Rhinolophus ferrumequinum: one gene and its partners. The protein of the gene in region 3 purifies or fractionates together with the protein of the main gene of each other region. This does not show direct contact. Links are inferred from orthologs where the notes say so. Each region holds a gene or a part of one and is shown on either strand. Other genes may lie near its edges. The genes, in order: PRPF6, CD2BP2, EAPP and TSSC4.

The links.
Region 1: the proteins of EAPP (region 3) and PRPF6 purify together in Homo sapiens (affinity purification with mass spectrometry; 3 studies listed by BioGRID and IntAct, with this or other methods). This does not show direct contact. The link is inferred for Rhinolophus ferrumequinum from reciprocal best matches to the Homo sapiens genes EAPP and PRPF6.
Region 2: the proteins of EAPP (region 3) and CD2BP2 purify together in Homo sapiens (affinity purification with mass spectrometry; 3 studies listed by BioGRID and IntAct, counting the BioPlex papers as one, with this or other methods). This does not show direct contact. The link is inferred for Rhinolophus ferrumequinum from reciprocal best matches to the Homo sapiens genes EAPP and CD2BP2.
Region 4: the proteins of EAPP (region 3) and TSSC4 purify together in Homo sapiens (affinity purification with mass spectrometry; 3 studies listed by BioGRID and IntAct, counting the BioPlex papers as one, with this or other methods). This does not show direct contact. The link is inferred for Rhinolophus ferrumequinum from reciprocal best matches to the Homo sapiens genes EAPP and TSSC4.

What each region holds. Positions count from the first base shown.
Region 1 is NC_046306.1:203,013-209,991, reverse strand, and holds the start of PRPF6 (pre-mRNA-processing factor 6), read left to right. Parts: upstream 1-3,972; 5' UTR 3,973-4,163; coding exon 4,164-4,234; intron 4,235-5,809; coding exon 5,810-5,978; intron 5,979-6,833; coding exon 6,834-6,952; intron 6,953-6,979. Other genes in the region: SAMD10 (sterile alpha motif domain-containing protein 10), read right to left, coding at 43-214, 292-473, 2,245-2,743. UniProt on the Homo sapiens protein: Involved in pre-mRNA splicing as component of the U4/U6-U5 tri-snRNP complex, one of the building blocks of the spliceosome.
Region 2 is NW_022680357.1:763,892-771,250, reverse strand, and holds the start of CD2BP2 (CD2 antigen cytoplasmic tail-binding protein 2), read right to left. Parts: upstream 3,010-7,359; 5' UTR 2,852-3,009; intron 2,692-2,851; exon of another isoform or gene 2,668-2,691; intron 2,383-2,667; 5' UTR 2,352-2,382; coding exon 2,274-2,351; intron 2,035-2,273; coding exon 1,899-2,034; intron 1,782-1,898; coding exon 1,624-1,781; intron 1,522-1,623; coding exon 1,089-1,521; intron 1,008-1,088; coding exon 901-1,007; intron 827-900; coding exon 716-826; 3' UTR 1-715. Other genes in the region: TBC1D10B (TBC1 domain family member 10B), read right to left, coding at 5,472-6,107, 6,190-6,344, 6,589-6,778, 6,962-7,027, 7,152-7,266. UniProt on the Homo sapiens protein: Involved in pre-mRNA splicing as component of the U5 snRNP complex that is involved in spliceosome assembly.
Region 3 is NC_046289.1:82,863,589-82,870,973, forward strand, and holds the start of EAPP (E2F-associated phosphoprotein), read right to left. Parts: upstream 3,008-7,385; 5' UTR 2,881-3,007; coding exon 2,807-2,880; intron 1-2,806. UniProt on the Homo sapiens protein: May play an important role in the fine-tuning of both major E2F1 activities, the regulation of the cell-cycle and the induction of apoptosis. Promotes S-phase entry, and inhibits p14(ARP) expression.
Region 4 is NC_046294.1:1,585,713-1,593,716, reverse strand, and holds TSSC4 (protein TSSC4), read right to left. Parts: upstream 3,009-8,004; 5' UTR 2,636-3,008; coding exon 2,446-2,635; exon of another isoform or gene 2,363-2,445; intron 2,348-2,362; exon of another isoform or gene 1,941-2,347; coding exon of another isoform or gene 1,934-1,940; intron 1,587-1,933; coding exon 1,471-1,586; intron 1,358-1,470; coding exon 359-1,357; 3' UTR 167-358; downstream 1-166. Other genes in the region: CD81 antigen, read right to left, coding at 5,635-5,697, 6,625-6,711, 7,217-7,318, 7,699-7,803. UniProt on the Homo sapiens protein: Protein associated with the U5 snRNP, during its maturation and its post-splicing recycling and which is required for spliceosomal tri-snRNP complex assembly in the nucleus.

The DNA of each region.
Region 1 (6,979 bases), on a different chromosome or scaffold from region 3:
ATCCCCGTGCCCCCAGCCCCATAGCCCCCAGCCCCACAGCACCGGTGATGGCGTGCTGGGAGAAGGCCTCCACGTAGACGAGGTAGTTGTGGGGACAGTGCTTCTTGAGCCACTTGCAGACGTCCTGCTGACTCCACAGGACCACAGGCCTCGTCAGGCCACCCAGTGAGGGACTCGTGTGGTACAGGCCACAGTGGTCAGAGTACAGCCAGCCCTGTGAGGGAGAGGGGTAGCAGATAGAATGAGGTGGTGGGGATGGCCGGGGCTGAGATGGGTACGGTGGCTGGGTACCTGGGGGGTCTCTGTGCCAGGCTGCTGCAGGAGCTTGACTGGCCGGCCACCTGCTGCCCTCTGACTGCGTGAGTCATGCCATGTGAGGCTGGTGCCTGGTGTCCTAGGCAGGTGGCAGGGGATGCTCTCGGTGGACACCGTGTGCTCCAGGAGGGTCCGGCAGAAGCTGAAGTGGGCAGTGGCTGCAGAGGAGGGGTGCCTGGTCAGAGTGGTCAGGGGCCCAGCCAGAGGCTCCCCTCGTCACTCAGCCCATCTCCCCTCCACTGAAGAAGGAGCCACTTTCCCAAAGGCAGAAGGAAGCATCGAGAGCTGTCTTGAGGGCCCCACCCAGCCCAAAGCTGAAGAACTGGAACACCTGTACCCTCCAAGTCCACAGTACATGTTCTGGGGAGCCAAATGGATTCTTAGAGAGAGCGGACGCCCACCGGGAAGCCTAAGACTTACAGCCAGGGGTAGGGCTCTTCTGGGACAGCCCTCACCTCATGCTTGCCTTGGGCTGGCACATGCCACACCTAACGAGGGTGCACACACAGGCCCTTCCTACGAGGAAACATTGGACCGGTGTCCTGGGAGGCCCGTGAGGACCGGTGTCCTGGGAGGTATGGTGAGGAGACCCCCTGGGTGCACTGCGGGCCCATCGCCACGGATTGTGCCATCTCTGCAGACATCCCTGCCACGTGAGGTTTGGCCCTGCCCAGCTGTGCTCACTGGTTGTGACTCATGGACAAGAAGCCTAAACTCTGGGCAAGCCAGGACCTGGGATTCCTGCTCCCCCACCTCCCACAGGGTCGCCAACCCAGGGTGACTGCTGTGCATGGTGGGTCTGCAGCCGCCATGGGCCGCTCAGCACAGGCCCATAGGCTGCAGCCATGTGCTCAGGGACCCCTAGTGACACCTGGAGCTCTCTTCCCGTACCAACTTCATTACACTCGTCAACACTTTGGTTTTATCATCATTTCTGGGCTGGCTGCTGACCTGAGTGGGGGAGGAGCAGTCGCCTGTTCACTGCCCCTCCCAAGACCTTGCACAGGTCCTGGTGCAAAGGAGGTGCCCAGAAGTGTTGTGATGAATGAACGGATGGACGAAGGTTCTGTGTGATGTGCATCTTTACAGCATCCAGGTCCTCACTCAGCAGGGAGACCTTCCTTCCCACGGACACAGCCCCCCACCCCTCGGGCAGGATTTGGCCCTGTGCCTAGGTCTCAGTAATGGGGGAAACCCACATCTTGCTCCCCTCCTTCCACCCCATTCCTGCAACTTTCCACTACCAAATAACCACAGGTGCCTGTAAATTTGAGGTCTAGGGTCAGACTGAGAGTGTGGACGATGCCTCGAGGTGGCTTCTAGTACCGTGGGAAAAGAATTAAAGCCGAGACCTTTCAGGGGACAGGCCCTGGGTCGCATCGCCTTGCCTCGCCTCGCCAGGGCCCGGCCTGGGTAAACCAGTCGGACACCTCCGTGGGCGTCTCACCTGTCCCGGGTCAACGGGACCCGCCCATTTCCTGCCCGCGCTGGGGGGAGGGATCTCTGTGGGTACATCCGTCCTTCCCTCCCTCCCTCCCAGCCCCAACGTCATAATTCCCGTAGAAAATGGGGTGGGGGCGCACGATCCCGGCTGTGGCCCCAGCCCCTTCTTCGCTCCAACGCAAAGGCTGGGAGGGTTTTCTCCGCGCGCGGAAAAAAAAGGTGACCGCACGGTAGTGCGGGCCTGGGGACAGAAGCCCCGGCCGGTGACCTCCCCCAAGCCAAGGGTGCGCTGATCCCCAAGGCCTAAGGCCGCCCCACCTCGCCCCCAGCGCAGCACAAAGACACAAGAGACCCCAGATCCGTCAGGACGCGCCCCCCTCTCTGTCCACTGCCGCCGCTCAAGTCCGCCAGGTCCCGCCCCCGTCCCTCTCGGTTCCCAAGCCCCCAGCCCACGATATCCCTGCGCCCGGATTCAGCCCGGCTCACCGTCCACATCCCGGCGCTCCCCGAAGCCGGCGCGCACAGCCCCGGCGCGGCCTCGCGGGGGGCTCAGCTTGGTCCTCAGCTCCGTGAACATGGGGCCCGCGGGGCCCGGGCCCGTGCACACGCCCCTCGCCGGGCGCAGGGCGGCCCGAGTGGCCGGCGGGGAACGCGCGCCACCGCCCCGCCCCAGCCGGCCCCGCGCCGGAGCCGGTCCCCGCGCCCGGCGAGTCTGCGCGGCGAGGCACCTGCCGCTGAGCCCTGAGAGCTGGGCGCGCTCCGGGAGCTCCGAGGTGTGTCGGCGGCGCGCGGGTCTGCGTATGCAGAGTGTCTGCCAGGGCAAGGGGCGTCCCTGCGCACCTGGGCATGGCTCCAAGGACGAGTGACTGGGCACCTTTAGGGGTCCAGGCGTCTGCAGGGCCCTCTGAAGCAGGGAAGTAAGGACACATTCCGCGTGTGTGTGTGTGTGTGTGTGTGTGTGTGTGGTGGAGGGCCTCCTACCCATCCTGGGACCTTCTGCCCCCTGGGGCCCAGGTCAAGGATTAGACCCATCCCTTCAAACCACTTCCCTCCATTTTTCTACCTTAGTTTTCTCCTTTAATTCACATTCTCCAGACCTCTCCAGAGGTCTCTCCCTCAAATGGGCACTTGCTTCCCCAGAGAAGTCAGTTTGACTCTCTCTTATCTCATCACACTGAACTCTAGGAGGACAGCCAGCGTCTCTCCCTTTCCTTCTGTAGCCCCAGAATCGGATTCAGTGCCCAAGATGTGGCTCTGAAAGGGGCTTGGCTGGGGACAGGGAGGAGCAACCCCAAGGAGGCTGCAGCAGGCAGGAGGGATGTGTTTGCTGCAGGACGCCAGTGAGAAGAGCTAGGGTGGGCTGGGGCTGTCTGGGCCAGCACAAGGCCAGACTTGGGACCTGAGTTTTGCCTGCTCTGCCAGGAGCCTGAGTGCTCTCCCAGGTATGTGTGGGGGCCAGAGGATGTCCCATAGCGGAGTGTGCTAAGGTGCACGTGGCCACCCAGAAATGTATGCAGAGTACAGTCAGGCATGCCCATGACACCCACAAGTAGAGATTGGCATGGAATTCACCCAAATTCTGTGATCGCCCACGCCCATATACTGACTCTCCCGACATATACCCGCCGCATTTATTTATTTCCATTAATTAGCTCAACAGGTGGGCTCTTGCCCTCACTTGAACCTTCAGGGTATTATGGGACTGTGAGTGGGGACCTGTGCTGGAATTGGAGCTCAGGAATCCGAGTCCTGAGAGCCAAGGCAGCAAGCAGTCTGTACACAGGAGCACACACAAACAGGTGTGCTCACAGTCGTGACACATACACTCCGCACAAGCTCTACACAACTGGATAGCTGTGCAGCACCCCTCAGATGTGTTATGGCCTGCCCCGGGGCCAGGGCGACTCTGAAGGGCAGGGTGGGTAGCTAGGGCTCAATCCTAGGGCTCCCTGGCAGCTGGGCTGGCTCAGAGAGGGAGGGGACCCACGGGTCCTACTGGTACAGGCAGGTCTCCTTGGAATGCATCGAGAACACGCAGTAAGCAAGGGTGCCCAGGCTCAGTTTCCAGGTCCCTGGAGGTTTGTCCAGAAAGGCGTCGCCCCTGGACCTCCGGCGGGGCTGTCCGCCGGCCCTCCTCGCCACAAGGGGGCGCTCTCGCTCACGCACCTGCCGCATCTCCGTCCCTCAGCCGCGGCCGGAAGTCGCCCAGCCGCGTTTCCGGAACTTCCGCCCGTGGAATCCGAGGCGGCCGGAGCTTCGTGCCGACCTGGCGCTCTGCTTCCGGGGCGCGGGTGACGCGGGGCGCGCGACCTCTTCCTGCAGTGAAACCTCGGACGTCTGTGGTGTTTTGCCTCCCGCCGCGGTCTCCGTCCTTTCCCTTCCCGGCCCTTGTCGTCACCTGCGCCATGAACAAGAAGAAGAAGCCGTTCCTGGGCATGCCCGCGCCGCTCGGCTACGTGCCGGGGCTGGGCCGAGGGTGAGCCCCGGGGCGCGCGGCGCGGCCCTGGGCCCCGGGGCCCGGGTCCCGGCGGGCGCGCCCTTGGGGAAGGGGCACAGGGCCGGTCTGTCCTAACCCCCCACGGCGACGGGGAGACGAGAAGGGACAAAGGCGGGTTGCTTGCTTTAAGCTTTGTAGGAAGAATCGTTCTTGGGGTTAGGACAGACCCGAGCGAGTCCCGCCAGTTACCTAGGAGCGGGGTGACTGCGTTTAGCTACGCCTTGGCTCTGAGCCCCTTTTGGTGTCTAAGATGGGTGACAACACCGTTTCGCAGATCTGCCGTGAGCAGCAGCTCAGTTCCTGACGTGTCTACCGTGGGAACGCGGCGGCTCCTCTCCGCGGGCCCGGCAGACGCGCACCCACCCCCAGCCCCGCCTTACGCAGTTCCCGGGAACCCCGGCGCGATTCCTCTGTGGCCGCTCATCGCGCCACATTCTTTCCCTGTAGAGTCGTTGGTCACATACTGTTTGTTCAAACTCTCAGCTCCCGGGAGCAGGGATGGCATCTTTGAGGCTTGTGACAGAGTCCTCCCTGCCTGTCACACAGACTGCGACCGTAAATTGTTGAGTAAATGAGCAGTCATTTTCATCCTGTTTGGTTAGTCATCTGATTAGGAAGACTACTGGGTTTCTCTTGTCGAGGATGGTACCGTATGTTAGAATCTGTGGAGGACACAGAAGTGTCAGATAGTGGCACCATCTTCAGGGGACCTGCACTCTGCTAGGCGAGGTGAGGTATATGCATAAGTAAGTACATAAAGAGGAACAGATTTAGGATTGGGGTTCCAGTGATCAGGGAATGCTCGATGCAGTGCTAGCATTTAAGCTAAGTTTAGAAGGCAAGATGCATTTAGGGATGTAGACATGTAGCAGGTTATAGGAGAAACCGATGTTTTGTGTGTCGCGCAGTTAGGAAAAAAGATGAGGCATGGAGGGAGATGAGGGGATAGCAGGGAGTCCATGGGGCTGGGATGTGCAGGGAGCAGAGCTCCTGTGGGCATTGCAGAGGTGGTCCCTCAGGCCTGCGCTCCAGCAGAGGGAGACTCGGTACAGGGAGGCCAGCTTGGTTCCGAGGCCTGGGACCAGGGATTTGGAGGAAGACAGTACAGCTCCGTGGCAGGTGGGAGGGAGAGGGAGGCAAGCCAGGTGTCTGCCTAGGTGCCCTGGGCAGCACTGCCGTCGTCTGTGGAGACAGCCCCAAGCAGCTGCAGGGCAGGCACAGAAGAGGAGCTCTGACTGGGTCAGGTTGGGTGTGAGGGCCTGCTTGGATGGGGAAGCTGTTGGAAATGGGAAACTGGGACTTTGGGGGAGGGCTGATGCCCTGACAAGTCTCAAGGAGAATATGGGGACAAGATGGCCTTAGTGATCCCTTGGGGGGGGCAGGAGGTTTCCTGTTTGAAGAGAGCAGACTGGGAGTGTTTGAGAGCATGGCCACGCGTATCTCACTCCACCAGGACCTTTGGAGATTTCCCAGAGGTGTTAAGTGACAGCAGTGGAGGGAAGAACACAGGAACAGGGTCACCCAGATCAAGGAGTATCTTGGGGTCTCTTGCAGCGCCACTGGCTTCACCACCCGGTCAGACATTGGGCCCGCCCGGGATGCCAATGATCCCGTGGATGACCGCCATGCACCTCCAGGCAAGAGGACCGTAGGGGACCAGATGAAGAAAAGCCAGGCTGCAGACGACGACGACGAGGATCTGAACGACACCAACTATGACGAGGTGACCTGTGCTGGGCTCCCCGGCCAGCCTGCAGAAGGCCGGCCAGCTTCTTAACACGGTGGCATCTGTGATGAGTGGCTTGGCCTGGCTGGCCCATTTCCTGTTTCAGCTCAGGAAATGTCTCCCTGAGACACCTTCAGGGTGTCTCCCTAGCAGAGTGTGAGAGGGGAGTAGGAAGAGTACAAAGAAACGTACACTTTTGTTTTCTCTTCAGAAGACGTTTACTGAGAACCACTGCATTGGCATTTTATCCTGGCCAATGAAAATTTAAATGGAATTGGTGATAATGTTTGCTTTCCTTTGCTTTAGTGCTTACTCTCTTAGTTAATTGGTGTTTGGTCAATTGAAGTTTTCTTCAGATATGTTCTAACAGATGGCATTTTTCTCAGAGGAAAAGATTTGAATACTTTACTTCTGAAATAATTTTAAATTTACAGGGAATTTGCAAAAATAACATGGAGAATTTCTGCATACCCTTCACAAGTTTCTCCCCATCTTACATGGCCTTAATACAATTACTGAAACAGGAAATTAACACAGCACTCTTAATTAGTCTAGTGTATTGTTTGAACCCCACTGGTTTTTCCATCTGTAGCCTCCGTCAGGCCCCAGGCCTACCACCGGCTTCCATTGTGCATGTAGTTGTGTTTCCTTGGGCTCCTCCAGTCGGGATAGTTCCTCCTGACACTTTTGAAGAGTACTGGTCAGTTATTTTGTTACTCCTCGGTTTGGGTTTATCTGATTGAAAAATATTGTTTAGCAAGCATTTTGCAACTGGTAGTGTTCTCTGTTTCTCCTGGTGGGGATTAAGTTGGAAGAGAAGCTGATCCTCCAAATATGTTGTTTGGTTCTTAGTTTAACGGCTATGCTGGGAGCCTCTTCTCAAGTGGGCCCTACGAAAAAGACGACGAGGAAGCAGATGCTATTTATGCAGCTCTGGACAAAAGGATGGATGAAAGAAGAAAAGAAAGAAGGTAAAACTAGTTACTGCCCTTCACTAT
Region 2 (7,359 bases), on a different chromosome or scaffold from region 3:
AGAAAAGACCTAGTACCAAAAAACGTCTGGGAAGCGAGCCTACTGGCCTCTGACTCACTGTGTGCCCCTCCAATGACATGCTGCCCTACTCTGTGCCTAGTCGATGGGTGGCAGGATCAGGTGACCTTGTGCTAACACTGAGCCTGCATGTCACTTAAGGAGCCTGAGACAGTGGGAGCCAGTGAGTACTAGGCTTCCTGCTCACGCCCAACTGCTGTCCCAGCCCTTCGAGGCCTAAAACGCCCCTTCTGGAGTTCCGTTCTGTAGTGGCTGCCAGGACATGCTAACTGAGATCCTAAAAGCCAAAGACCTCAGAACAGCAACAGGAACCCCCAGAGGGTACCGGAGAATAGTATGTGCGTGAAGGGATTTTTAGGTGGTAAGCAGAGGCCAGGTGGGGAGGCCACAGGACACCTGACATCCTGGCTCTGCCTCTAGGATTGGTCAACGGTGAGATGGTTCAAGGGACCAGAAACTCCCACAGAAGAACTTCATGAGGAAACAGTCAAGGGCTGAAACAAGTCCAAAGGGGCTGTAGGGGATCCCTGGCTTCCGGCCATCAGCACAGCCGAGGCCTTAATACACAACTACAGGCTTTTATTGGGAAAGAAAACTGACTGAAAAGAGGCCCCCGATATCCTCATTGCCTGAGGCAGCTGGGGCCTCCTCCAGAGTCCATGAAAGAAGGGGCCCCCAAACTGGGCCCTCGGCAGGCTCAGGTATACAGATCAAAGTCAATACGCTTGGAGTTGTAGAACTGTCCACCAGGGGGGTCCAGCTTCCGGCAATACACACCATCCGGGAAGTAACCTTCGTTCACCCAGGTCTGCGGGGAGAGAGGGCAGAGCTGGTGGAGGACTGATGGGTGCGAGGGCAGAAAGGAGGCGAAAAGGGGTTTACCTGCATCTGGGTGCTGGTGAAGGGCCCGTACAGCTCAGCATCCCCCGTGTTCTCCCACTTATACTCCCACATCACGTCCTCCAGCCCGTCTCCGAGCGACTCTGCTTCTACAATCACAGGCAAAGCCGTGTGGGCCTCCAGCGCCATGCCCCTGCCCACAAGACCCCGCCTCTGCCCTTCAAGCTCACCTCTCTGGGCAGGGGACAGGGTCACCAGCTCCTCCTCTGCCACTTCTTCAGCAAACATGTCCAGAGAAGGTGGGGAGATGGAGTCAGGGGGTCCTTGGGTCTGGCACCCCAACCCCTTCAGACGCATGGCCAGCCGTTCCCTTGTCTCCTGATAGACACCAAGGTTGCCCCGAGCCACCATCTGGTCAGCCAACCCCGAGAGCCTGTCCAAGCGCTGGGGGGAAGAGGGCCGTCCGGGCCCCTTACTGCCCCCTTTGGCTCCTCCTCTGGCCCCCAGACGCCTCAGGGCCCCAGCCACTGTCTCTCTGGGCAGCAGCAGCTCCAGGAGGCCCTCCAGGAGTGCCTGGGCGCTCATGGGTGTCTGGCCCAAGTTATCCTCCTCGTCGGAGTCCGATGGTGGATGCTGGTCAGGTGGCCGCTCCTTGATCTTCACCTGTACCGTGAGAGAGAACACGGAGATTATTTCTGACAAACTGCCCGCAGAGCCCAAGCACCTGCCGCCTCCGGCCCGGCCCCGCCAGCCCCCGAGCCATACCCAGTCAATGTTGTCCAGCCAGCTGTCTCGGATCTGAGCTTCTCGGTTCAAGAAGTAGTTGCCGTCCGCATCAAAATGGCCTTCTTCCATCTCTTCCTGGAGATTGAAAGGTGTGATCCGCACACCTCCCTCACTGGGGAGTGTGGCCGCTTCCTGACCTGCACCCAACACAGGCATTTCACACTAAGCATGCGACGGTGACAGAAGGAGCCCTGGCCCACGTCCCAGAAGCCGGTTCGTTCCCGCAGCAGAATCAATGCTTCCGTAGACCTCACCTTCCACGTCCTCCGAGGCCAGGATGTCATATTTGCTGGACCCCTCCTCCTCGTCGTCCTCCTCATCGCTGTCCAAAGAGTGTTTGCCTTTGAAGCGGCTCCCAGGCCCTCCTGCCCCGGCCACAGGGTCCACGAGCTGTGAGCAGGAGCCAGCCGGTCGAGAGAGGCAGGTTACCTACCGGCTTAGTCCTCAAAATGCTCTAGGATCTGGACTCAAACTGACAATCTCCCAAACCCATTTCTCAGAGAAGACGGCGAAGCTAGTCCTTTCCTTTCTGCCCTTTTTGTATCCCACGCTTTTTCCCTCTTCGGGCTCCTCGTTTCTTTTCTCTCCCCCTCACTCCTCCCTACGACGCAGGAGTCTGGCCCCCTCACCTTCTTCTTGGGTACACTGATGTCATCCTCCTCATCCTCATTTCCCACGCCTTGAAAGGTCACCTTCCTCTTTGGCATGGCTGGACCGAGGGACCTGCCTCGAGCTGAGCTGAGAGAAAGGACGCAGAGTAAGGGAACCGGGCGAGGAGGAGGTTCGCCGCGAGAGGGCCCCAGCGCAGCAAACGTTTGTTTCCCCTGGTACAGAAATAGGGGCCGAAAGGGGCGTTGACAGGCAAGAGGCCCCGGAACCTGGTCTGGCATCCGACAGACTGGCTGCAGCCGAGCCGGAGAGGCGGGAGCCCCGAGCAGTTCCCCCACGTGACCACCCCCATCCCCAGCCCTGGCATCCCGGGCGCGACGCCGCTCCCCGGCTTAACACCCGCTGCTCCCCCACCGCCAGTTCCCTCGGAGCTCGTGAGGCTCGGGCGGACCCGGGATCTGGCGTCCTGGCCGCCCCGCTTCTCCCCGCGACGAACTCCCAATTCCGCGGGGTGACCCCCGACTGTGCCGGGCTCTGTGTACAAATGAGAGGCGCCAGAGCCCCAGGGACCCCAGCAGTGCCACCGGCGCGCGCTCACCTAGGGACCCCGGGAAGGTGGGGGAAGGCAAGGAGCGAAGCTTCCGCTAGGGCTGCATCCGGGGCACCGGGCCGCCATCACCCGGAAGAGAACTGCGGAAGGCGCCAGGAGGGCCGGAAGTGGCTTCAGTCTGGCGAGAGCGGGTGGGCGGAAGTCCGAGGAGCCGGGGAAGGCACACTCCCCCCGAGGAGTGACTCGAGCTGCGTGGGACGGAACGACGAGCAGAGGGCACTGGAGAATGCCTACACCCTGATGGGACGCGAGGGGTGGCCGGAAGTGGAGGGATGGCTCAGGATGGGACGCGAGGGTGGCCGGAAGTGGAGCGGTGGCTCACAGCCCTAGAAGCGCTGGGGAGAAAGTGGAGCGAATTCTATCTAATCGGGCGCCCGGGGTGTGGCGGACGGCAAGATCCGAGCAGGGCCAGTGGGTTCCCGCTCTGATTTCCCTTCCCAGGGTTGCGCCATCTTCCCCAGGGCTGGCCAAGGCTCTGCGCCCCTCACCATCTCAGTGGAAACCTGGCCTGCCCCCTCAGCGTCCAGCTGTCTGCGTTCTCCTGGTTCAAGGTGCAGCTTTGCGCTTCTCCCTGAGGGGAAGCCCGGCTCTCCTGATGGCCCGCCTGGAGGCCCCCGACCGCCCGTGGGGCGCTTTCCGAACCCAACTCCCTTCAGGACCCAAGGGGGGCCATTTACCATCACTCCCCGCCCCCCTCCCACCATCCCCTCGTTTCTGAGGTGGGAAGAGCCCTAACCGGAGAGGTGGCAGTGGCACCTATGCCCAGTACATGGGTCAGAAGCCCCGCGTGCCCGGATGTCAAGTAGGCCTGGAAAAGTGCAGCAGCGCCTCTCAAAGCCCCTGCCTTAGGCCCCTGCCGACAGGCAGAACTGTGGTGGGGATGTGGGAGCAGTGGGTCCCAGTGCTGTGGGGACACGCCCTCTAGCTCTTGAGGACACTGGGAGTCTGAATCCCACTAGGCTAAGGCTGTGCCCAGGAAGAGCCTACTGGAACCATCGGTCCCCAGGAAACGACGAACCAGCCCTCCGGTCTCCTGCCCCCGGTGTTTCCTCCCAGATTGGACTCCCATGAAACCGCAGTTTCTTCCATGGGTGGGTCCAGAACACACACTCCAGACTGAGAGGGCATCTCCCTAAAGGGTCTGAAATACCAGCTCCCAGTGCCACTGGTACATCCTCTGGGGACACTTGTACCAGGAGCACGAAGTACACCCCTGGGCCTCATTCCGTTGAACTGCCCGGTGGAGCTACAGACCCCTAGGCCTTTACCAACCTGACCCCTGGGGTAGACGGTGCAGAAGGGGGGCAGGCCTACAAGCTGGCAGCAGACAACGAGGAGCTGGGAGCCTGGCCGTGGACACTGGCTGGAGGCAGCTGGCTGCTCCCTGGAGGCCAAGTACTGGGAGCTGTGCCAGGCAGTGGGCCAAGACTGCCCAGCTCACCCCGAGGGCTGTGGCTTTCTAGCCCCCTTCTGTCCCCCCCCTCAGCTCCCAGGAGTTGCATGAGCAGTTTGGGAAGGACATCTGGGTGCTGCAGGTGATACGTAGAGGGCTTCAGGCCACTGACAATGGAGGCAGCAGATCCCAGAAAAGCTGGAGCAGGAGCTCAACAACTGTTGATGGGTGAAGTGGACCAAAGGCCGAGGGGTACCAACGGCCACGACCAGCTGACTGCTTCAATCGATTCTGGCTCAAAAGCCGCTTCCTGTATCCCTAGTTCTTACTCTAACGCCTTCGTCAAATAACAAGGCAGGAGACAGGCCCAGGTACAACAGCAGGATCTTTTCTGGTTTCTCAAAGCGCTGCGTCGGGTGGGGGCAGAGACAGAAGAGAATGTAAACATTGGGTTCCACCCCCGGGAGCTTAAGGGAAGACCCCTTTCCCAGAGAGGGGCTGGAAGGTTGGAAGGGAACAAGGTGAAAGGTGTGGGCCCTGGTGAGACAAAGCAGGGGAAGCCTGAGAATACAGAGGAAGGAGGAGGAACAGGAAGAAGAGCCAGGACTGCGGGACATTTCCTATTCCAGTGCATGTCCCATTAAATAAATCGGGAGTACAAGAACATTGCGGAAGAACCGAAGGACGGAAGACAGAGCGGACACCCCACCCTGGGCTGACCGGGTCCTCTGTTCGTCATTACAACCCCGAGATGTCCACGTTGAACAAGGAGGGCCTTGGGCCCCGGCCAGGAAGTGGAGACAAGCAGGACTGAAGAAGGGGAAAGAGGAACTCGGCTCCGCTTCATGAATGAGGGGAGCAAGTGGAGTGTAAGAATCTGAAAACTGCTGGCTCCCATCGCCAGGAGTCACCCCTGTGGTGACAGAAGGCCAATCAGGACAGTACCTGGGAAGGGACCCCACAGGGAACCGGGGCAGGAGTGACAAAGACCCCGGCTGGGCCTAACTGGAGGTGCGGGGCCCCAGATGTGTCACGGCTGCCCCAGGGAACGGAGCTGTCCCATGCCCCATGTTCTGACTGTCCTGGCTGTAGGATCAGCAGCTGGCAAGGGGACGGGGAACAAGCCACCTTCCCCAGAAAAGGACAGTCTGCCCAGGGGCCTGCTCTTGGCTGAGGGAAAAAGGGGGGCCATGCAGTCCAGCCCCGGGGCAGAGGTCAGAAGTAAGTGTCCTGGCGGGCCTCAGATGAGGAGGCCCGGTCGCCACCATCCTGTGGGTCTGGGGGCCCGTCGGCCTTTCGACGCAGGGAAAGCTTCCTGCCTTGGCCCTTCTTCTGCTTCTCCTTCTCCTGCTTCTGCCGCTCCTTCTCCTGCTCTTTTTCCCACTTCTGCCGCTCCTTTTCCTGCTTTTCCCGCTCCTTCTCTTGTTTCTGCCGCTCCTTCTCACGCTCCTTCTCCTGTTTCTGCCGCTCCTTCTCCTGCCTCCGGGTCTCCTTGCTGGGACCCAGTGGCGTGCTGTTGCCAGTCGGAGAAGGAAGAGATGGATGCAGTCCCTCAGCGGTGATCACAGGCCCCGGGGCAGGCCCAACACTGGCCCTGCGGGCGGGAGGGGGCGGAGAGGGCACCCCCCCAGCTGCCCGGGAGCCTCGGCTCTTGAGGCCAGGGAGGCTGAGGAGGCTGGAGGAGGGGCCCAGGGGGGGCTGCTGTCGCCGGCGCTCCTCATGGATGGCCCGGGAACCGTGCAGTCGCCGGGAGGGCCGGTACTGCAGCTGCCCCCGGGTTTCCAGCCACTTCTTGAGCTGGGCGGTGTTCTCTCTCTCAATCAGTGCTTCTGTCACTGGCAGGTTCGTCACCTGGATGGAGAAGTGGGTGCCAGATGCAATGACGGTGCGGCTGGCCTGCAGCAGGCGAGGCTGAGTCACGGCCAGGGCTTACCTCATGCACCAGGAAGTCCTCCTGCATGCACTGCGGGGGCAGGCTGCGCAGCTGCTCCATGGTCTCGTACATGCCCTGGCAGGCGCGCAGCTTCTCCAGGGAGCCCAGCGTGTGCCGCAGCAGCACCAGGGCCACCCGGAAGATGATCTTGACGCCTGTGGCCGAGGAGACAGTGGGGAGATGGGGCCTGGGTCCCAGCCTTCGGTTAGGAGGCACTCCGCCCCACCCCGCCAACCTTAGGGGTGAGGGAACTAAGGCCCAGCAGGGAAATGAGCCGCCAGGGGCTTCAGGTTCCTGGCAGGGAGAACAGGCTCCGGGTTGGCCGCAGAGCCGAGACCAGGCCCACCAAGCACCTTGGGTCAGTGGGAGCCCGGCCCCCCTGGCCTGACAGGCTCGCACCTTCGCAGAAGAACATGTCCCAGACGCGCAGCACAGAGGCCCAGGGCAGCGTGCGGGCGAAGATGCACATGAACCACTCGGTCATGTAGAGCACGGGGTCGATACGCTGTCGCCGCAGGTGCCGGTGAGCCAGCGGGGACGCCCGGCGTAGCAGCGCGAAGAAAATTTCACCATCCAGCTGGATGGCCTCCTGGAGGTGGACGAGCCGTGAGGAGAGGCCCGCCGTGGCCCCCGTGGGGTCCGACCGATCGAGCAGGGGATCCTCACCTCAGTGGGAGAGCCCTGTGCAGAGGGACAGGGGCGGGGGGGGGACAAGGGCCTCCCTGTGCTTGGGGACAGTCACAGCCCCAGCGCCAAGCCGCCCCACACTCACCAGCCCTGCACTGTAGTAACCAGGGAGGTACTTGTCGCAGATCTGCACCAGGCACCAAAAGGCTTGCTGAGAAGGGCGAGAGTGGGAGGGATGATGGGGCCTGAGAATCGGGCAGAGGATGCCCCCCGCCAGCACCAGGCGTCCCCCCGGTCCCCCCCGCAACCCCCAGCCCGGGCCCCGGGGTGCTGACCTCAGCAGGCATGTGCATGAGCAGTACGGCGGCCACCGGGGCCTGGGCCTGGCAGTAGCCCTCGTCGGGCCGGTAGATGGTGTAAGCCTTCAGGATTCGGTACAGGTCCTGTTGCCTGTGAGTATGGGGGAGACCATGAGGCAACCACACGAGTTGGGGGCTCTGTGCCCCAAACTAAACCTGCCCCCACGCAGCTCCATGCAGACCC
Region 3 (7,385 bases):
CACAATGGTCAACACTGGAAATAACCAGATGTCCTTCACTGAATGAATGGTTAAACGTGGACTACTACTCAGCAATAAAAAAGGAATGAACTATTGATACCTACAACGAAATCTCCAGAGAATTATGCTGAGTGCAAAAAGCCAATCCTAAAAGGTTACAGACTACATGATTCCACTTATATGTTTTTTGAAAATGACACAATTATAGAAATGGAGAACAGATTAGTGGTTACCAGAGGATAAGCAGGGCATGGGGGCAGGAAGTGGGGAATAGAAGGGATCCTTGTGGTGATGAAAATGTTCTGTATTGACTGTATTAGTGTCACTATCCCAGATGTGATATCGTACTAGTTTTGCAATATGTTAACACTGGGGGAAACCAAATAAAGGTGACACAGAATCTCTGAATTATTTCTTACAAGTGCATGTGAATCTACCTCAAAATAAAAAGTTTAATTTAAAAAAAAATTGAATGACAAGGCAAGAGAGTTTCGGAGATGCCTTTTTGCAAATTTTCTTCAAGCCTAGTGATTATTTCAAGAGAAGTCTCAGCATTTAGCACTGCTGGGTGAGGCAATACATCATGGTGCTGCAAATTCTTGTTGATATATCAAGAATGCAAGGTTCTCACCACTTTTTACCGAGGCCATTTTTCAGAATTGTGTTTGCTGTTAAAAAAAAAGAAGAAAAAAAAACAACAACAACAACAAAAAAAAAAACCTAGAGGGATGAAGTAATGTCCCTTTCCAGGACAAAGAGCAGGCTTATTTACTGCCTGCTATAAAAGAGGTGGATTCTTCAAGCTCAAGTGGTCCTCAGCCACAGTGCCAACTCACTGAATGTGCATCCATCTGGGTCTCTCACCATGTAACCCCTGTAGAAATTGGGACATAAGAGTAACCAGTAAGAACATAATGCTCATGTTGCCTGCTATGCTGTGAGTTGTCTGACCCAGGAATCTCAGATCTTCTGCCAGCTTCCATGAAACAGTAACAGGTATAAAATATTAGCTTACACCTGGGGTAAAACCAAATCCTGACAGACTCCTCTCAAGCACCTCTCTAAAACCAATCTCCCTTTTTAAAACAAGTATTGGATTCAGAGCCTTGAGCAGGCAATACTGTCTAATAATATTGTTTTGTTTTCATAGTATTTTTAATTACTTTACCAGAGGCAATTGTCACAAGATTATAAAGCTTCTTTTAAGAAATTAAACTACAAAAATGTAAACAACTTAAAGAAAAATATTAAATAAATAGTAACAGTTTTATATGGAGATGGCAATGGCAGAATAACTCAAATACAGGAAACACTGCTATATTCCAATCAAACTGAATTACTAATTGAGGCCTACATATACCTCCTTTCACAGACCTGACCCATTAACTGAAACTTTTTTCACAGGCCACCCTCATTCCCCACAACAGAAATCTTCACAGCAGTCTGAACTCCTATGCCTGCAACCCCTCCCCAGTATGTGAAGAAACATTGTGACTGAAGGTAGGACAGTTTTACAAAAAGTTCAGACCAAAAAGCTCAGTTGGACAGATGTTTTCAAGTTTATAAGTAGGATCTGCTGACAGCTTTAAAAAATGGCTAAATTTGCCTGGAAATCTCTTGCCAACGTATCTGCAAGTTTCCCCCAGGTAGGGTTAATCCCTTCTGGAAATTCCCACGGAATTTCATCTGTGCCTATCTCAGGTAATCGTTTTCCAAAATGCTCTTCCAAAATACATACTTATTTCCAAAATACATACCTTCTGAGATATAGAGAGGGTGCCAAAAAAAAAAATGTATACACATTTTAAGAAAGGAAAACTGTATTAAAATTATAATACTCAATATATACCGATAACCAAAGATGAATACAAGTCACGTTTGACTTCTGCAAGTACAAGAAATGGTTACCATCAGCGTCCAGACACTTCTGATTACGGCGAACTACTGCTTGAGCAACGCTGACCAAAGTGTCCACTTCTATACATTATTTGGGCACCCCCGGTATATATTATTTCCCCTACTATACTGTAAGATTTGTAGAAGGCAAAAATCTTATGATCGACCTGTGTAGCCCAGAGCAAGCATATACTCTCTCTGAAAATAAGACCTAGCGGGACAATCAGCTCTAATGCATCTTTTGGAGCAAAAATTAATATAAGACCGGGTCTTATACTGTACTGTACAGTATAAGACCCGGTCTTATATTATATTGTATAATACATTGTATAATATAAGACCCGGTCTTATATTATATTGTGTAATATAAGACCGGGCCTTATATTAATTTTTGCTCCAAAAGACGCATTAGAGCTGATTGTCCGGCTAGGTCTTATTTTCGGGGAAACATGGTAATAGATGCTCAAAAAAGTCTGTTAATCATTCCCTTATTTTCTGTTTATGGCATATTAGTCTTCAAGATGGTCACTTCCCATTAAGTCCCACGAGCCTTACACATACTTACGATACAGGTATTGTATTTCCTATTTTATAGATGAGAAACAAAGTAAGTGACTTGCCTTCGGTCACACTGCTAAGTAGGCTGAAGAGGCCAGGGCTCGACCTCAAAGCTTTTGAAGACTTACGCGCGATTCCAGAATAGCCCCCGCTTCCCGGCGCTGGTATTGGCCCTGCCTCCCCCGTGGCTGCAAGACCTCACCAGAACTCCCCTCGGCGTCCCACTGGCGACAGCGGGGCGCGACTGGTGCCGGAACCGCTGGGCCGAGGGTCCGCACAGGCCCAGCAGGCGCAGCGCAGAGAGGACGCGAAGGCCCGAAGAATAGAGAGCCTCGGAGGGCCAGGGACCCACCTGCTTAAAGCCGGCTCCTCGTCGCTAGGCTCTTCAACAGCGTAGGGGTCATAGTCATCTCCGAGCCGGTTCATGGTGGCCTCCACGCTCGGAAACCGTCTACAGGCGTTGGCCTAGAACCTGTTTACCCCGCAGGTCCCTCCCCTAAAGCGTTCCGGACTCCACTTCCGGCCGCACAGCCTCACCCTCCCTGCGCGCCTGCGCATATCGTCCCAGTGAGGTGGGGAGAGGAAGAGGGGAAAGGGGGAGGAGATGGATCTCAGTGTCCGGCCACCTCTCTCCTCGGCTTCCGCTTACGTGAAAACAGCTAGTTTATTACTAGAAATAGTAATAGGCACCCTCATAAGTGACGGTCTCTGAGGTGAACACTCCACGTACAGTGTCTCGTGTGGTGACGTGAAGAAGCAGAAATCTAGATGCTGAGGGACGTGCAGCCTGTAGGTCCTCAGACACTAGGACCCGATGTCCTTCCAACCTCCTCGCGGCGAGTCTTTCTACCTTCCCACCGCGCGCGGCTGCCTCGTATTCACACTATTCATTCCGCAGTCTGACTGCGGCTCTGACCGGCTTCCCAACAGTTGCTAGACTGTCACCAGTTACTTTACTTCCCAGTTGCCTTTTCTTGGCCTCTTCTCAGTCCCAACCTTTGCGCAGCCCTTATCCGATTCCACTCAATACTTGAGATGAGGTAGATGACGACCTCTTCTTGATTGTAACACCATTTCTCCCGTTTCTGTACCAGCCTATACTCAAGTTCCTGTCTCCTTCCAGGACAACTCACCCCTCTTCATGATTACATTCAGGTGACTACCGCGTCTTATTTTGGTCCTTGCCCTCTCCTCCATACTAATACGTCAGGTTTCCAATTGCCTGGCTGGATATCTCCGCCTGCGGCACCACTGGCAATCCAAAGTCAATATAGCTCAAACCCAACTCAGTATCTTACACCCCATTCCTATACCTCAGCTGCTTTTGACTCTTGATTTGTCACTTCCTTCATCCTTATAACTGGTACAGGCTGAAAGTCTTGGACTCTTGTTTGACTCCTTTCTCTGTCCCTCCATGAGCCCTCAATTCCCAAGTCCTGTTGATCTCTTAGCAACATCTCGCTCATCCACATTTTATCTCCCTACCCCTCACCTTGAGACTATTGATTGATCTGTGCTCCTAATTGACAGCCTTGTTTTGCTACTCTACTCGGCAGAGTGACCTTCCAGCACAGCTTTGCTCTGGATGATTGATTTCCTTCCCCAAAAAGTCCTACTATTTCCCCTTTACCTGCTGATCTGTTCACCTTATCCTGCAGTATTCTTGGCCCTCAACAATATGGTTCAATCCATCATGCCAAACTGATTTCCCTACACCTACCAGCACAATTTGCTGATTCCAGAATATGTGTTATCCCATCTACTACTGGCCTTTCCTTATGCTATTCCCTGGAGCACCCTCTCCTTTTAATTCCACCATCCAAACCCTACCTGTCGTTCAAGATACATCTGCAAGTAATGGATGGGTCAGTAACTAGACAGAATGACCCTTTAGGATACCTTTCAGCCATGAGATGCTATAGTTATGGGAACTCACATTGTACCTTTTCTATGATGCCTTTTCAGATTTTCCCTCTATATGGGATCTTGCTCTGCTTTGAAAACTCTTGTAGGATAATGTACCTCTCACATGCCATGTATTTCTCTGGTTTTCAACTATTGTTCCCCCCAACTCTTTTAAGAGGTAAAATACTCTCCCATGTGTCACATGATGTGAAGGAAATCCCTCTTGGGGAACCTGTTTTTTCCTTTTCTGGGAATTGTGGCCCTCCTCAGGGATATGCCCTTACATCCATGTTCATTCTGTTCCACAAAAGTTGGACCATTATTCACTTACTTACTTTGATAAACTTAAAAATGAAGAGTTAGAAATTTTTTTTAAGGTGTGGCTGTGGTCTTAGGATTTGTTACCGGAATAGTAAATTCAGGGGCTCAGGCTGACATTTTGGGGTGGCTGTTTGGGGGTTGTATGTGCTGATGGTGAGCAAGCAAATAAAAGCAGGAGTATGTAGCAAGCAGAGGTAAGCAGAGAGGCTCTCCCCAACAGCTTGTCTAAAACTAAAGGTCTCAATCCAACCCCTTCTCTCCATTCCATCTTCTCTATCCCTTAATCCATTTCCCCCGCTTCTACTTCACATAAGTTATTTGGTTGCTTACTTCCTGTCTACCTGTTCCATTTCTCTATTGCTGCACAAAAACACAACCTCCAAAATTTAAGAGCTTTGAAACAAAAACAATCATCTATTTTGATCACAAATCTGCAATTTTGGCAGGGATTACTCTGCTCCCTAATGTCTGGGGTCCCAGATTGGGACTGAAACCACTGGGGACTAGCTGAGCATCTCTCTTTCCATGTATCTTTCTCCACAAAGCCTTCAGCTTCCTCACAACATGACAGCTCCAGAGTAGTCAGTCTTCTTACAAGGTTCCCAGAGACCCAGATGGAAGCTGGAAGGCTTCTTCTGACCAAGCCCCAGAATTCCCTGAGCATCACATCTACCACATTCTATTGGTCAAGCCAGTCACTAAGTCCAGATTTCAGGTAAGAGATAGACTCCACCACTCATGGGCAGAATAGCAGAGATATAAAGGATATAGTTTACTGTCTAAAAAATGGTTTGGCTTACTGTCTAAAAACAAAATTAGAATTGAACAACTCAACACCAAAAAAAAAAAAACTTAATTAAAAAACAGGCAGAGGACATGGAGACATTTCTCTAAAGAGAACATATAGATGGCCAACACACATATGAAAAAAACGTTCAATTTTGTACACCTGAAACTAATAAAATTAAAAAACCTTGTAGCAATTTAAAAAAAAAAAGCTCAACATCACCAATCATCAGAGAAATGCAAATAAAAACCACAATGAGATACAACCTCACTCCAGTGAGAATGGCTAACATCAATAAATCAACAAATAAGTGTTGGCGAGGATATGGAGAAAAAGGAACCCTCATGCACTGCTGGAGGGATTGCAAATTGGTGCAACCACAATGGAAAACAGTATGGAGGTACCTCAAAAAATTGAAAATGGAACTACCTTATGACCCAGCAATTCCACTCCTGGGTATCTATTCAAATAAATCCAAAACACTAATTCGAAAAAAATATACGCACCCCTATGTTTATTGCAGTGCTATTCACAATAGCCAAGATATGAAAACAACCAAAATGCCCATTGATAAGACTGGATAAAGAAACTGTGGCACATTTATACAATGGAGTATTGCTCGCCCATAAAAAGGAATGGAATCTTACCATTTGCAACAACATGGATAGACCTAGAGAATATTATGCTAAGCAAAATAAGTCAGACTGAGAAAGACAAATACTATCTGACATCACTTATATGTGGAATTTAAAGAACAGAATAAACGAACAAACAAAACAGAAATAGACTCAGAGATATAGGGGGAAAAAAACTGATGGCTACTAGATGGGAGGGGGAGTACATGGGGGAGAAGGTGAAAGGATTAGAAAGTACAAATTAGTAGTCACGGTATAATCACGGGGATATGAAATACAGTGTGGAGAATATAATCAATAATGTAAAGATTATGTGGGGTGCCAGATGGGCACTGGACTTATCAGGGAGATCACTTCATGGACTGTGTAGATGCTAGATGCCTGACCACTGTGCTATACACCTGAAGCTGAAATTGAATAATATTGAATGTCCACTATAATTAAATATACATTATATATATATAGTCATGGGATGTGGAGTACAGCGTAGGTCATATAGCTATATACGATGTCAGAGAGTATTCGATTGTCGGGGGTTATCATTTTGTGAGGGGTGTAAATGTCTATTATATTGCTTTGTACACCTGAAACTAATAAAAAAGAAACTGAGTTTACAGTTTGAAAGGAATCACTAAATAGCAGATAGAAATATTGAAAAAAAATTAAGGCCTTGCATCGTATGTTAAATGCACAGTGCTGCTCTAAAATAGGAATTGGCAAAGGATGGTCTGTGCGCCAAATCAGGCCCACCACCTGCTTTTGCAAATAAAGCTTTATTGCAGTACACACAAAAACATTTTTTTAAATTATAATTGAACAGATTAAATGGACTATTATGAAATAGACTACAAAACATAATAGTGTATTTACAATTTTCTTCAGGTGTTTTAAAATATATACTTTCTATTGCTATTATATACTTCTCGATCACTGCAAAATTTGCAGTGGATGAAGTTCATACTTTGCCCTGGTTTTATGTCTTCCAGGTTGAAATCTTGACTTTTTCCCCCTTTAGGTTTGACTAGGTTTAGTTGTTGTATATGTTGAACCCGTTCACCTCTTTGAAGTAGTTTAAGACAGACTTACTTAAAAAGATACCAGGAAAAAACGATCCCTATTAAGTAGGTAGGGGAAATCTTAACTTCAAAGTTTAATGGAGGTTAGGAAAGATCCTCATAATAATGGTGTCTAGTGAGGGAGGATGAGTTCCTACAGGATGGCGGAAACAAAAAAAGCTGAAACATCCTTTTTACTAAAAGGAAAGTGAGACCAACCCCAGGGCG
Region 4 (8,004 bases), on a different chromosome or scaffold from region 3:
GGAAGCTCTGCCACCAAGGGGAGCAGGCGGAGCTTTAAAACCTCTCCGAGCCCCCGACCGACATTGTCGGGTAGGCCCAAGTGTGGGAACGGGTGACCGGGCAGGCTGGAGAGCACAGAAGGTTGCAGCCAACGGGTCCTGGGGAGGTGGGGTCTGCACAGAGACACAGAGCCTGAGGAATACCCAAAAGCTTTACTGTTCCCCACGGGCACCCAGTGGGCCCATCAGTGGCAAGCAAGGTCTCTGCTCGAGTCCACTGCCTGAGCCCCAGCCAGGGCCGCTGGCGCCACCGACAGGCAGCCCACCGGCTTCCTTCCCAAGGGGTTGGGGCTCCTCAAGTCCAAGGCAGGCTCTCGGGTCAGCCCTCAGCCCCCTCAGCACCAGGGACCTCAGAGCTGCTGCTCTTGTTCCGAAAGTGGTCTCTACTGCGCTTCCTGCTGCCGTGGAAGCCAACAATGTCCACCCCTGGGGGGCCCGCTGCGGACTCGGTGTGGGTGTCCCCCTCGGGCGTGCCCACCTCCTGCACGCCCCCACGCGGGCTGCTCCACTCCTCGGCCTCTGGGCTCCCGGGCCTGGCCAGGTGGGCCAGCTCCACAGGCCCCTCAGCCCCACCAGGCGCCCCTGCCTTTCTCAGACCCCGCTTCCTCTCTGGTCTGGCCTCGCCGGCGCGGGCCGGTTTGGTGAAGACGACTCTGCCCTCCCCACAGCTGGAGGGGTCCTGGTTGAAGGAGGGCACATAGTGGCCGGGGGCGGCCAGGCTCCGGGAGCCCAGGAAGGCCAGGGCGGCAGCCTGATTGCTGTGCTCACTGGCCTCGGCCACGTCTTCCAGGCTGTACTTAGTCCAGCGCTCAGGGTGGGTCACATAGTCGGGGACGGGGGGCGCCCTCCGGGGGACAGGGCTCTGACTGGCCCTGCCTGGGCCTTCTGCTGGAGGTTGGCGTGAGGGCGCCAGGGGCCGCTTGAAGCCCCCACGGTCCCCTAGGCCAGTGTGGACCACAGAGGGTGGCGCCCGCCCGGCTGCCCCCTCCAGGCAGTCAAAGATACTGTGGCTGCGCTGCGAGAAGGTGGAGCTCATGCCTCTCAGGTGGAACGGCTGCACTGCGGCTGTAGGGAGGGCCCTGGGGGGCGAGGGGGGCTCGTCGGGGCCTGAGTCCCCCTGGGCCTCCCCTGGCAGCCCCTCTGGGGACAGAGCTTCCAGCTCAGCACTGCCAGGCAGGCTGAGGTCAGAGTCCGAGTCGCTGAGGGAGATGGTATCAGAAGGCAGGACATCATCATACTCGGGGCCCTGCTCGACCTCCAAGCCAGGGGAGGGCTCGCCAGTCCCCGCCTCAGCCATGTGTCCTGGGCCACACCACACCTAGACCAAAACAGCCCATGAAGTTGGTTTCTGAGGACACCATGGGTTTAAAACACGTTTCGCCTGCAGACCCACTGCCCCGGGTCCCTCTCCCCCCGAACGATCCTCCTCACCTTCCTTGTCTGCAGGGGATGGTGAACGGAGCCGCTGGCAGAGGTGGCAAAGGCGTGGGTGTGGCCTCCGCCTAGAAGGTCTCCAGGCACAGCTCTGTTCAGCTGTTCAAGCGTAGCTGAGAGAGAGAGAAGGGAGAGCCAACCATCAGCCCAGAAGGCGAACATGACGGGGTGGGGGGGTGCCATGACCCGGAAGTGGGCCTGGGTCTACAGAGCCGCCGACACGGGCTGGGCCAGGCCAGGCCAGCGAGCAGGTGTTTTTGACATGTCACCTCCTTCAGTCCCAACAATCCTCTCAAGTGGAGCCCAACTCGAGCGACCAAGAGAACTGCTGGTGGAAGATTCCGGTCGTGAGCAGCCAGTGGCCCTTGAACCCAGGGCCAAGGGCGGCCCCCGCTCAACACTCCCACTCACAACCGAGTGCAACCACTTATCCGCTGCTTACGTGGCGCGTGGCACCTGCCTGGCATGTGGGGAGCTTTGTTCCCGTTTGCTGGGCGATACCCTGGAGTCCCAGGGGGCTGTGCAGCCAAGTCCTCGGCATCTGAGGGTCCAGCTCTCAGGCAAGTGGAGCGTCTGTGATCACCGCGCACAGCCACGCTGGGCAGAGGCAAGCCGCCGCGGCTCTAGGAGCACCTTCGGGGGGCATGTCTCTTCTCCCGCAGCCCTCCCCGCACCCCCTGCTTCCTCCCCAGCTGAGCAGAGAAGCGCTGCTGACACCCGTGTGGTGGCCACGTGTGGCCAGGCAGCTCGCGGCCTGTGTGTCCAGGCCCAGGGGTCAGCCCAGCCTCACGCTTCTGCCCTGCTCTCAGCCGTCCATTCACCGCCTCCTCCCCCCGCACCGCGCCTCCCTCGCCGCAGGGTGGGGGGGACTCACTGCTGACGCACCCACCGAGGAACAGGCCAGGAGGGGCTCTGACGGCCCTGTCCCGGGGCAAACAAAGGCGAGCCCTCCATTCCTGAACGAAGGACTACCTCCAGGAGCGCGAAGGGGCGACAGAGCCGGCCCCGCAGTTCCAAGCCGACTCCTGTTTCCCAAATTCGCACTCCCGTCCGCTGCACCGCTGGGGACGCTCCCGCGACTGCGAGAAGTAGCAGAATCAGTGGGACACTCGGGGGGCGGGGGACGGGGAGACCGAGCCCCCCAGAGAAGGCATCCGGGCATCCGTTTCTTCGGAGTTCTCCGAGCACTTCGGGAGCCCAGTGGCCGCAGAGCCGAGGCGGGGGTGGCGCTGGGTCTCGGGCAGGGGTGTCAGAGGGCCGGGGTCTAGGCAGGCCAAGTCCCAGGAAGTGGGTTCTCTCTCCCTCCTGGGAAGCAGTCTTCACTTTCTGCACTGTGCGTGCCCAGAGCCTCGCCGCCTGCGCACCAGGCTCTCCCTGTCGGGCCTGGGTCTCGGGGACCAAGCCGGCCTGGCTGGGCCACGGTCCGGGGACCGCACGAGTCTCGGGGTCCCAAGGGCCAGGCCTCGAGGCACGGGGGTCTCTGGGCTCGGGGCAGTAGGCCCCGACTGGCCTGTGCCGCCATCCCCTCACCACCAACCTACCGGCTCACTGTGGCCCGATCGCCTCCATCTTGCGCCGCGCTCGACCCTATGGGAAATTGAGTACCCCGCCGGCAGAGTGCCGCGGCTTCCGCCCCTGAAAAACTACATCTCCTAAAACGTACTGGGCCGCTACTCCCGAGGCCTGTCGGGACTTGTAGTCCTTGCGCATGCGCTCTCTTCGCAGCCTCCACTCCCCGGAAATGGCGGCGCTCTTTCGCGAAGAGCCCGGAACCGACTGAGAGGAGGCGGGCGGGGGAAGGGGGCGGAGGGAGAGGCCGAACCGCGACTCCCAGAATACACGAGTGCTAACGGTCAGCGCCGTGTTCCCGTGGCCCCATCGCGCGCAGCCGGAAGCCATGATGAGAGGTCCCTCAAACCGGAAGTGCGTCGTAGTGCGCGGCGTACGCGGCGCCGTTCGCGGACACTTCCGGCCCTGGCCGGAAGCGGCCGGCCGCGCCCCTCTGGTTCTGAGAGACGTGCGCACCGCAGGTTGAGCGCTCATCTCAACCTCCGAGTGTGTTAGGGCTGGAGGGCAGCCGGGGCGGGGGCAGGGGTGGGGGTGGGGGGGGCAGGCCACTTGGGAGTGGCGACCTGGCCCCGCCGGCCGATGGCCAGACTGGTCAGTGCTGCCGGGAAGTGGAGGACAGGTCCCGGTCTCCCCTGGTCAGGCCAAGTGTCCCTGCTCCCTTTCCCTCTGGGGCCGCTTCGTGCCCCACAAGGTCGCGGCGCCTCAGCCCCTAGCGGCTGGCCTGCTGCACCCGGTCCCTGTCCCAGGCCTGGTGTCCTGGCGTGCTCCGCGCATCCGGTGTGCAGGCCCTGCCGCCTGGCCCGGGAAACCAAGGAAGAAACAGCCTGTTTTTCCGTGCAAGCTCGCAACACCTCATTCCTAAGCGCCCCCACGTCCCCGTGTGGCCTCGTGGGGAAGTGCTGGTCCGGTCCACCCCGAGCACTGGTTTTGTAGTGGAACCAGTTTGCAGGTGACACCCAGCCCTCTGCTAGGATGTCCCCGCGGCCTCGAGCATAGGGGCCAGGAGAGAGGAGGGGCCGCCGTGGGCCGTCTTACTGTCCCAACCAAGCTGCCCTAGCACAAGATGTGGAGGGGCACACGGAGGCCCCATGACACCCCAACCCTCAGTGCAGCAGGGCTGGGGTTCGTTTCTAAAATCAGCCCCCAAGAAGGCCACAGGAAGCCCTTCCCGAATCCCCAGCCAGGCCTCGTGGCCTCAAGGGGTCAATTTCAAGTACACACAGGTCAGGGCCGCCCGGTGGCTCCGGCGGTTGGAGCTCCGTGCTCCTAACTCCGAAGGCTGCCGGTTCGATTCCCACATGGGCCAGTGGGCTCTCAACCACAAGGTTGCCAGTGTGACTCCTCGAGTCCCGCAAGGGATATTGGGCTGCGCCCCCTGCAACTAGAAAACGGCAACTGGACCTGGAGCTGAGCTGCTCCCTCCACAACTAAGACTGAAAGGACAACAACTTGGGAAAACATCCTGGAAGTGCACACTGTTCCCCAATAAAGCCCTGTTCCCCTTCCCCAATAAAAAAAAACAATAAAGTGCACACAGGTCAGTGCCTGTGTGAGGCCCATGCCCTATGGGAAGAACAGCTGTGGTGGGCCAGGTGGCCCCTCCTGGGTGTGGCTGAGACCTTCCCCTCCAGCCCCTGCAGGATGCCACTTGGCCACAGCCACCCAGCTTCTCCACAGGCAAGGAGAGGACCCTCAGACACTCGGGAGGGAGCAGTGCATCTGTCCTCTACAGAGCTGTCCCTCAGAAGGGGATCCCCCACCTCAAGCATGCCCTACACCACAGTCCCTGGCCGCCCCACCCGCCCTGCCCGCTCCTGGCAGCAATGCATGAGGAGGAGAGCTGGGAGTGCGGTTGGGTGGAGGCTTCTGTAGGCAGCACAGGGCCCAACAAAGGGGCACTTGCCACCTGGAGGATGGAGTCCTCCCCGGACACCCCAACAAGGTGGGCAGCATACCTGGGCCCGGCAAAGTCCACAGAGCTGAGCCCCACCTGTGTGAGGGTCTTCTGTCCCTTGGGCCACCCCGGGACAGATGCTGTGGGCACAGGAAGGGGCTGGACAGTTTGTTAGCATGCCTGGTTTTTCCTTCTTTATTGAATGAATTTCAAGATGTAATTACAATCGTAGGTGACGTGTTAGAAAGGACAGATGCATTGAAAGTATAAGGCCACTCATAGACCCAGCTCTAGAGACAGGTGGCAGGAGAGGAACACGGATTAAAAAAGGCGTGAGCCGTGCAACCCATGGGGACAGGTGGGTGGGAGGGAGGGCACAGCTGGAGTGGGGGGGCCCCCTCGGCCCCCTGGAGAGGCCTGGTTGAATAGGCGGAGTCCCCCAAGAGGCCTCAGAAGCAGAGGGGGCCATTGTCCTGCAGTCCCAAGGCCCACTCACACGCCACGTACAGGTGACGTCAGCCCCAAAAGGTAACAGGGAACTTCAGGACAAAAACAAAACCTCAAAAGTAAAAGGACTAATAAGTGTAGTAGAGTAATACCAGAAAAGTTATATACACAGGCGGTTATATACCCTCCTCAAAGTGTCCAGGTCGCTCTGGGGGCACCGCAGGGGTCCCGCCGGGCAGAGCGGTGGAGCCTCAGTACACAGGGCTGTTCCGGATGCCACAGCAGAGCACCATGCTGAGGATCATCTCGAAGATCTGTGGGAGGCGGCCCGGTCAGCACCCGGAGACCCCGTCAGCACCCGGAGACCCCGTCAGCACCCGGAGACCCCGACAGCACCCGGAGACCCCGACAGTACCCGCCATCACCCAGAGACCCGGTCAGCACCCGGAGACCCCGTCAGCACCCGGAGACCCGGTCAGTACCCGGAGACCCGGTCAGCACCCGGAGACCCGGTCAGTACCCGGAGACCCGGTCAGTACCCGGAGACCCGGTCAGTACCCGGAGACCCCGTCAGCACCCGGAGACCCGGTCAGTACCCGGAGACCCCGTCAGCACCCGGAGACCCCGTCAGCACCCGGAGACCCGGTCAGTACCCGGAGACCCCATCAGCACCCGGAGACCCCGTCAGCACCCGGAGACCCGGTCAGTACCCGGAGACCCCGTCAGCACCCGGAGACCCCGTCAGCACCCGGAGACCCGGTCAGCACCCGGAGACCCGGTCAGTACCCGGAGACCCCGTCAGCACCCGGAGACCCCGTCAGCACCCGGAGACCCGGTCAGTACCCGGAGACCCGGTCAGCACCCGGAGACCCGGTCAGTACCCGGAGACCCCGTCAGCACCCGGAGACCCCGTCAGCACCCGGAGACCCCGTCAGCACCCGGAGACCCCGTCAGCACCCGGAGACCCCGTCAGCACCCGGAGACCCGGTCAGCACCCGGAGACCCGGTCAGCACCCGGAGACCCGGTCAGCACCCGGAGACCCGGTCAGCACCCGGAGACCCGGTCAGCACCCGGAGACCCCGTCAGCACCCGGAGACCCCGTCAGCACCCGGAGACCCGGTCAGCACCCGGAGACCCCGTCAGCACCCGGAGACCCCGTCAGCACCCGGAGACCCCGTCAGTCCCCAGCCAGCACCGAGACCCACGGGGCCTGAGTAGACGGCCTGCTGCCCCTGCTCACCATGATCACAGCGACCACAATGGCCGCAATGCCGATGAGGTACAGCTTCCCCGAGAAGAGCTCATCAATCTTCTGGTGGCAGTCTTTCTGTGGGGGATGGCCAGCGGGCGGTCAGGGGTGCTGGTCCTCGGGCCCCCCGCAATGCAGCAGCCTGGGGTCATTGCAGAAAGAGCACGGAGGGGCACAGCCCTGGCTGCCCTCAGAAGAGGCGTGAACAGGGCCGGGTCTCTGCTGGGTTTTATCTTACATCCAGTTCAAAACAAATGTGCTGTGTGCACCCTCTTCTACTCAGAGACCACTCAGCATCACAAGGATGGATGCTGACCAAGGGGTCACCCTCCACGCCCACTGGCTGCCGGACACTGAGACTCCCCCATCGGAACCCGCACTTTCCCTGGGGGCCATCAGTAGAACACAGCCCCCAGGCAGAGCACCCGACTCAGACCACAGCACCACCCATGGTGGCCATGTCCCTGACGTGCCCCTGGGGGCCCACCCAACACCTGGGACCCGCAGGGGGCAGGGACGCAGAGAAGTGGGGAACAGCCGGCCAGCCCGCCTGGGGCGCCCCGCCGCACCCACTGCCACACACCTTAAACACGCTGCTCATGAAGTTGCTGTCCGAGGGACACAGATTGTTCTTGTACAGAGACGTGGCCAGTGAGATCAGGGTGTTGGAGCCGCAGCAGCTGAGCTGCAGAGACCCAGGGGGCCCACGATCAGCCCCACGCATGTGTGGGGAGACGGCCAGGGACATGCATCCCGACGGCTTCCCCATTCTGGCGTGCGGGTGGGGGCTGGGATGTCCCCTCCGGGAAGGACGTTGCCCAAGGCCCCTCCTTCCCTCCTTCCAGCTCAGCCAGGCTGCACTCCCACCGGCCTGGTCTATCTGGTTCCCACAAGGACCCAAAGGTCCCAGAGAAGCCCCCCCAGGGCTGGCACAGGAAGCCCCTCGGCCCTTGAGAGCAGAGCTGCCAGACCCCAGGTCTGGGCTGAGGTCAGACAGCACCAGCCAGGCTCCGGCTGCCACCCACCTCAGGCGGCCCCCAGCCCCCGCCTCCCCGGCCAGCGCACCGTCTCGTGGAAGGTCTTCACCACAGTCTTGGCATTGTTAGCGTCGTCGTCCAGCACGGCCTGCTGCAAGGCCTGGTCATAGAACTGCTTCACGTCCTTGGCAATCTGGGGACGGATGTGGTCACACTCAGTGAGGGCCAGCCCCCGGGGGACAGGCCCAACCCCCACCCCCAGCTCAGCCCCCAGGCCATCTCCTCCAGAAAGCCCTCTGTGGCCTTCCTACCAGGCTGGCCCCAGGAGGAGCGCCAAAGAGCACCCCGTAGTCTGACCCCTCCCCCACACTGAGCAGCGGGGGCGCCTCCTTCC